Sus scrofa: one gene and its partner. The protein of the gene in region 1 interacts with the protein of each later gene in a biochemical or structural test. Links are inferred from orthologs where the notes say so. Each region holds a gene or a part of one and is shown on either strand. Other genes may lie near its edges.

Evidence for each region.
Region 2: the proteins of ATR (region 1) and ATRIP form a complex in vitro, tested with the Homo sapiens proteins (4 studies listed by BioGRID and IntAct, with this or other methods). The link is inferred for Sus scrofa from reciprocal best matches to the Homo sapiens genes ATR and ATRIP.

What each region holds. Positions count from the first base shown.
Region 1 is NC_010455.5:83,272,792-83,276,610, reverse strand, and holds part of ATR (serine/threonine-protein kinase ATR), read left to right. Parts: coding exon 1-755; intron 756-1,574; coding exon 1,575-1,753; intron 1,754-2,177; coding exon 2,178-2,369; intron 2,370-3,819. UniProt on the Homo sapiens protein: Serine/threonine protein kinase which activates checkpoint signaling upon genotoxic stresses such as ionizing radiation (IR), ultraviolet light (UV), or DNA replication stalling, thereby acting as a DNA damage sensor.
Region 2 is NC_010455.5:31,158,192-31,162,676, forward strand, and holds the start of ATRIP (ATR-interacting protein), read left to right. Parts: upstream 1-1,657; 5' UTR 1,658-1,757; coding exon 1,758-2,004; intron 2,005-3,666; coding exon 3,667-3,797; intron 3,798-4,485. UniProt on the Homo sapiens protein: Required for checkpoint signaling after DNA damage. Required for ATR expression, possibly by stabilizing the protein.

The DNA of each region.
Region 1 (3,819 bases):
CTACTATTTTTGGAGTACTGACAAAGGAATTATTACATCTTTTTGAAGACTTGATTTACCTCCACAAAAGAGATGCAATGGGACATTTTGTGGAATGGCCAGTGGTAGTTAGCCGATTTTTAAGTCAATTAGATGAACATGTGGGATATTTACAACCAGCTCCTTTGCAGTTTATGAACATGCAAAATTTAGAGTTTCTTGAAGTCACTTTATTAACGGTTCTTATTCGTATTATTGCAACTGTGTTTTTTAGAAGACAAGAACTTTTACTTTGGCGGATTGGTTGTGTTCTGCTAGAGTGTGGTAGTCCAAAAATTAAAGCCTTAGCAATTAGGCTTTTAACTGAACTCTTTGAGCTTGGAGGACTACCAGCACAACCAGCTAGCACTTTCTTCAGTTCATTTTTGGAATTATTAAAGCACCTTGTAGACATGGATGCTGACCAGCTGAAACTCTATGAAGAGCCATTGTCAAAGCTAATAAAGACATTATTCCCCTTTGAAGCAGAAGCTTATAGAAATATTGAGCCTGTCTATTTAAATATGCTGCTAGAAAAACTCTGTGTCATGTTTGAAGACGGTGTGCTTGTGCAGCTTAAGTCTGATTTGCTAAAAGCAGCTTTATGCCACTTGCTGCAGTATTTCTTTAAATATGTGCCAGCTGGGTATGAATCTGCTTTACAAGTCAGGAAGGTGTATGTGAGAAATATTTGTAGAACTCTTGTGGATGTGCTTGGGGTTCAGGTAGAAGCAGAGGTAAGTCTTTTTTAAGATTACTTGTTAAGTATGTATTCTGTTCTTCATTGTATGCATATATGCAAATGTAATAATGAGAAGATAGAGTATCTTTAATAATACAAATGTACATTCAAAATGGGATGATTTTCATAATCTACTTTGGCTTCCTATTATGGATTTTTAATTGGATTTCAGAAAGATTTGTTCACTACATTGGTAATGAACTGCCAAGGCAGTAGAATGTTTTAAAGTAGAGTTTGTTGCCTTATTAATTAAAAGAGGGTCAGTTATCAACTTAATTGCAAAAACTTTGAGCACACACATGGATTTTTCTTTGACAGGTTGTAACAATTACTTTTAGAAAACCTATAGGTATATAGTACTAGTCATGTCAAATTATGCCCTTTTTTGGAGTATGGGATACAGGTAGTACAATAAAATAGATATGCAATAAGTTGATTAAATAGTTTATTTTATCTGTAAGTCTTGCTAAATTTGTAGTATGAAAGAAGTTAGTGGTTCCCTTTAGGAATTAAGAATTTTTCTTTGTGCCATTGTGGTCAAGTGAAAAACAGATTAGAGAGAGAAGGAGTTGTCTGAGGCTATCTAAGACTATAGAACCATAGTTCTAGATGTAGAACTATGTATGTGTCTATTTATAGACTCTGAAATAGTATAGATTAACTTAGGTCTTTGTTTTGCTTGATGAGACTGAAAATAGTCTCATCAAGCAACCTTATTAAAAACCTTATGTGAAATCTTATAACTAATACCTAATGCATTTTTGCTATCTGTGAATAATATAAACTTACCTTAAAATTATTTTTGCTTCCTCAGTATTTGTTGGGCCCACTTTATGCAGCCTTGAAAATGGAAAGTATGGAAATCATTGAGAAGGTTCAGTGCCAAATTCAACAGGAAAACCCCAGCAGTAATAGTGATGGACTATCACCCAAACGGCGTCGACTCAGCTCATCTCTAAATGCTTCCAAGAGAGCACCAAAACAGACTGAGGAGTATGACCTTGATTCAGTTTGTATTTAGCCACTTAATAAAACTTTATTCACTTAAAAATCACCTTAAATTCTTTGACTTAAATACACGGAGTGCATTTTTTTTCTTTCTATAGGTTGTCAAAGGAATGCTTAAAATATTTTAATATTTCTTTTTGTAGTCTATTCCAGTATAAAAGATTTCATGGCTAATTTAACTTTTTAACACATGAAAAATCTTGAGATGATAGATCAGCTATTTTAAAAATGTTAAACTATTTTTTGTAATGTAGTCAAAGAATACTCATTTTTCAGCCAACTGTAAAAGTTGTTTTAAATTTCAGTAGTTGCCATTACATGCTGTCTTTTGTTTTAAGTATTTTTCATATGTGAGCAAAATTTGTATTGAATATGAATACCTTTATACTCTGGTTATAATTAATTACAGATTTAAACATGTGGATGTGAACAAAAAGAGCATATTATGGAATTTACTGAAACAGAAAGCTGAATCCCTTCAGAATTTCCTTGAATTCAATAATATGAAGAATCCAGTTATTGAGACATTAGAAGGAATCTCTGTCATCCTACAACTGACTGCTCTGTGTACTGTTCATTGTTCTCATCAAAACATGGACTGGTAAAACAACTTGCATTTTCTGGGTGGATTTCATGTAATAAATTTGAATTTATTGTTTTAGGAGACCTCTTTACTTGATTTTTGTGACCTTGGAACACAAACTTTTCAGTGAAATAAAAATTTTTTAGGAGTTCCCTTCATGGCTCAGTGGTTAACAAACCTGACTAGAATCCATCAGGATGTGGGTTCAATCCCTGGCCTTGCTCAGTGGGTTAAGGATCTGGCATTGCTGTGTGCTGTGGTGTAGGTCACAGATGTGGCTTGGATCCTGCATTGCTCTGACTGTGGCATAGGCTGGCAGCCGTAGCTCTGATTCGACCCCTAGCCTGGGAACTTCCATATGCCTCAGGTGCGGCCCTAAAAGGCAAAAAAAAAAAAAAAAATTTCTTTTAAGCATTCCCATCATGGTTCAGCAGAAACAAGTCTGACTAGTATCCATGAGGATGCAGGTTGGATCCCTTTCCTCCCTGAGTGGGTTAAGGATCTGGCATTGCCATGAGCTATGGTGTTAGGTTGCAGATGTGGCTCAGATCTGGCATTGCTGTGGCATAGGCCAGAAGGTATAGCTCCAATTCGACCCCAAGCCTGGAAACCTTTATATGCCATGGGTATGGCCCTAAAATGATAAAAAAAATTTTTGATTAAGCACTCACTAAATGCCAGGTACTGTATTAAGTACTATACATATCTTATTTAATCTTTACAACAGTTTTATGAAGAAAATGCTCTTATGTCCATTTTACACATTAGAAATTGAGGCTCAGAGAAATTGAGGCCCTTTTTTGTTTGAAGCCTAAACTAACTTTCCTGGGCATATATGATTACAGAGTAGAACACATTTTTATACATTTCAAAAGCCAGTGCTCTTCTAACCAAACATTTAGTCAAAAGACCTTTGCCCGTCAATAAATAAAAGTAAGAATTTAGAACTCGTTAGGTGTATATTTCCAGTCTAGTATCTTAGCATGAGGTAATTATTCCATCAGAAGAAACAAAGTGTGGACCCTCTTTGAAGATTTAGTCTTATTTTTACTGCCACATTATAGACTAACACTCCTTGTTCATTTTTTACAAGATCATTCATTCTGTATTTCCTGACTCACACTTAAATAGTTAATACAAAGTTATGAAGGAGATTTTTAAAGAACTATAGGGAGTTCACTACTGGGCTTAGCAGTAACGAACCCAACTAATATTCATGGACATGGATTAGATCCCTGGATTCGCTTAGTGAGTTAAGGATCTGGGGTTGCCATGAGCTGTGGTGTAGGCTGGCAGCTATAGCTCCAATTCGACCCCTAGCCTGGGAACTTCCGTATTGTCGTGGGTGTGGCCTTAAAAACTATAATAATTAGATTGCATTAAATTTGGAATGTGAGATAACTTGAAAGAATAGCTATACTTAGGGTGAAGTCTGCTTTTGTCCTATTATTAAAAAAGGGTTTACACA
Region 2 (4,485 bases), about 52 Mb from region 1:
TGTACTGACAAATGAAGTATAATCCTACCTCTTTACAGGACCAGAGACTTGGAACAATTAAGACAGGTGTTCAACATTTGAGCAGCTATCTGAGGGAACCCTCTAGGCCCTGACAACCATCTCCTTTTCATTTACTGCCTTCACAGACACTCATAGGATACTCACAGGCTAAGTTTGGCTCTGGGCATGCAAGAATGAAAAGTTTTGCCCCAGTTCCTCTCCAACACCGTTCCTGTTAACCATCCTGCACATCACTGCTGCCTAACAAAATCCTGTTAGCCACTCAAGCCCAGAAGTCCCCTCTAACACCTTCCCTCTTAGCCAGAGATAACTTCTGCCTAGCACTTGTGTGACCTCCATTTTAGTGTCATATTCTTGTCTGAGGAGTAGTCTTTTTTTTTTTTTTTTTTTTAAGGGTAGCACTCGTGGCATATGGAGGTTCCCAGGCTAGGCATCAAATTGAATCTGTAGCCACTGGCCTACACCACAGCCACAGCAACTCATGATCTAAGCCGTGTCTGCGACCTACACCACAGTCCACAGCAACACCAGATCCTTAACCCACTGAGTGGGGCCAGAGGTCAAACCTGCGTCCTCATAGATACTAGTCAGGTTCATTTCTGCTGAGCCATGACAGGAAGTCCTTGTTTGAGTAGTCTTGTGTGCCATCCTCCTTGCTAACTCTTGATAAAACTCCCACTGAACCTGTAGGACAGCCCAGGTAACACTTAAGGGGGCCTGCCTTGAACTGAGTCTCATGCATTTCTTTTTTGTCTTCTTAGGGCTGCACCCCCGGCATATGGAAATTCCTAGGGTAGGGGTGAATCCGAGCTGTAGCTGCCAGCTTATGCCACAGCCAAAGCAATGCTGGATCCTTAAGCCACTGAGTGAGGCCAGGGATTGAACCCTCATCCTCATGGATACTAGTCGGGTTCATTACCGCTGAGCCACAATGGGAATTCCCTCATGCATTTCTATATGACCAAGCACTTGGGACAAAAACACCTAAGAGCTCTCTGAGAAATGAATGAATGAATATTAACAGCCTGAGCTGTTAGTTCCCACCCCCTCCAACACAGACACACTCTTCTCAGGATCATTCCTTTACTCCTTTTTTTCTATTGACCTACCTCAAATGCACACATTCAAAACATTTACTGTTCTCAAAAAGATGTGTGCTCACAACAGCGCTGTTCATACTCCTAGCCCAGCCCCCCTCTCCAAGACTCCTCCCCAAGAAAGCCTCGAGGTATATGTGAAGTGGTTCAGGCTGGAGGACAGTCAGGTCACAAGGACCCTGAATGTGAATGCTGCCTGCCTCGATTCACGCGTGTGAATGTCCGGGCATGAATTTGTGAATATCAGGAGGGCGAACTCCTCCAGCACAGCAAACCCTATGGGATGTCAAGAAGCTGGCACAGAGCCACCCCGGCGGTGGGGCTGGTGAGTCACCCCAGGTTAACTTGGCTCACATTGCACAAAGCACCCGCCAGGCCCACTGAGTCCTAACCGCCAGTACCTGAGCAGCAAACAGGGTGGGGCCCAGAGGCGGAGAACAAATAGGCAGACACTCAGTTGAGCGCAGTAGCGCGCTCAGATTATGTCATCCCTCCGCGCCTAAGAACTGGCAGCTGATTGGCCCCTTGGCTCCGGGGCGTGGCACAGCGGCTGAGGCAAGTGGCGGCGCGCGAGCGGTTGGTCCCCGCTCCTGGATAGAGGCCGGACTCCGTTCCTTCGGAGACTGGCCGGCGGCAGGCATGGCTGGAATACCCACGCCAGGCAGCAGGAGGCGAAGCGGACCCCCGGCACCCAATCCTGGCCCGCCGCCCAGCCCCGGGCACCCTCCGAGCAAGCGGGCCCGGGGCTTCCCAGCGGCCGCCGCTCCTGACCCCGAAGACCCTTTCGGCGCCCATGGGGATTTCACCGCCGACGACCTGGAGGAGCTGGACACCCTCGCGTCACAGGCCCTGAGCCAGTGCCCGACCACGGGTCGGGACATGTCCAGTGAGTGCGCCTCGGGGCCTTTTCCCCCGAGGATAATGCAGCCCTTGCCAGACCCCCTAGAAGACTGGGGAATCCCTCAGCGACCGCTGCCACGGTGTCTTGCACCCACATTACTCCTTCACCTTTTAAAAATACAGGAACAGCTTGATTTAAGCAGCGGTTGTGCCCGAAAAGGTCCTTTGATTTGGGGGAGAAATATATCAGGAATGTCAGACAGCCTATTTAAAATATAGAAAGCTAGGTTGACATTTTACTTTAGTTCCTATAGTTTGGACCACTAGGATCCTTGGAACATGATTACCACTGCCATCAGAACCCCCACCATTACTACCTACACATGAGGACCCATTCTTAGGACAGGTTTGAGTGGCTTTAGAACTAATGTCACGGCCAAAGCAATGCTGGATCCTTAAGCCACTGAGTGAGGCCAGGGATTGAACTCTCATCCTCATGGATACTAGTTGGGTTCGTTACGGCTGAGCCACAACTGGAATTCCCTCACGCATTTCTATGTGACGAAGCACTTGGGACAAAAACACCTAAGAGCTCTCTGAGAAATGAATGAATGAATGAGCCTGAGCTGTTAGTTCCCACCCCTTCTAACATGGGTCCTTTTCCCTTTTCCCATAAGGATAAGATGGGCTTGGAAGTAGCAAGAGGTAGAAGAGACATTCTTTTATACAACCAATAAATTGTATGAGGTGCCAAACTTTAAGAGCTGCAGACACTTAACAGTGAACAAAAGACAGAAGCCCCTTCCTTCATGGAGCTTACATTCTAGGTGGGAAATAAGTGAAGGCTTGTGGGACTTCACTGACTTCGCTTCATTCCTTGAATTCTCCCTGCTCCTTACCATATAGAAACTGCACATTGCTGTTTCTTATGCATTGAGTATTCTTTCCATCCATTCCCCATCCCCACTCACCTGCTTAATTCCTGCTTGTTCTTCAGCTCTCAGTTCAGTTATCACTTCCCTACAGAAGCACTCCAATCATTCACTTGGATCAAATCTCCTAGTATGGGCTTTCCTATATTTGTTCTTTTCTGCAGCTCTTATAACAATTGTGATTTTACATTTATTCGTGTATTTTTTACTGCCATGTAAGCTGCATGAGTGTAAGGACTGTATCCATTTTGCTCACCACTGTACCTTTCTTTTGAGGCTAAATTGTGCCTGGCATATTGTAGGTCCTCAGTAAATATTGTTGATAATAGACCTCTGAGTTCTGATCAGTGAGACCAGAGCACCTTTCAACTTTAGGTAAGACTCTTAAAAAGGGGTGGGAAGGAATTCCTGCTGTGGCGCAGTGTGTTAAGAATCCGACTGCAGTGGCTTAGGTTGCATCCCTGGCCAGGCACAGTGGGTTAAGGATTTGGAATTGCCACAGCTGTGCCATAGGCAGTCAGTCCCTGGACTGGGAACTTCCATGTGCCACCAGTGTGGCCATAAGTGGAAAAAAAAAAATTGGATGGGGAATGGGGAGAGGTTGGCAGGATCTGTTCTTTCATAAGGATTCAATTATGTTCTTATGTTGGACAATACCTATATTGCTTACTATATCTTTCTCTAATTTGCTTTCCAAAGTGATTATTTTCAGCATTGTCTGGTAAAAATGGAAAAATATTAGGTCCTGAAAAGTACATGGGAACTGTTTTTTACAGATGTTCAAAAGGTCCCCAGATTAGATGGAATGCCAAAAAATCCTACAGGGAAAAAGAGAGAAAGTGCTCCAGTTAAAGATAATTTTGAATTAGAGGTACTTCAGTTACAATACAAAGAACTTAAAGAAAAGGTAAGTGATTTAACTTGTGTTTTTTATAGTTAATTAATTCACGTATGCATATGTTATTAAAATATATATATATATATATATATAAGTTTAAGAGCCCAGACATTCCTACCATGGCATGGCAGTTAAGTATCTGGTATTGTCTTTGCAGTGGCATGGGTTCCATCCAGTGTGGCCACAGTGGCACCACAGGCCACAGCTGTGGCTCAGATTCGATTCCTGGCCTGGGAGCGTCCATATGCCCCGGATGTGACAAAAAGCAAAAAAAGAGTCCAGATTGATCCCCATGAATTGGGAGAAAGCTATGGAAAGAAAGCCAGAAAATTTTGGTGGAACTAAATCCTGAAATTCCTAACAGCCAAAGCAAGAAAGGAAACACTGTAACACTGTATACCATATCAAAAAGAGATACAAACTTGTTATAGCATTGAGATAAATTTATAGCATGTCTTAGTTAAAAAACACATCCTAATGGTTACTATTTTCATTAGCAGTTTTGTAAAAAAGCAGAAGTCCTCCATATGACCCTTTACAGTTCCCTAGAAAAACTAAGAACATAACAGGGAGGGAGTTTCCGTTGTGGTTCAACAGGTTAAGAACCCAGAAAAATGTCCTGAGGATCCCTGGCCTCAGTCAGTGGGTTAAAGATCCGGTGTTGCTGTGCCTCTGTGGTGTAGGTTGAAGATGCAGC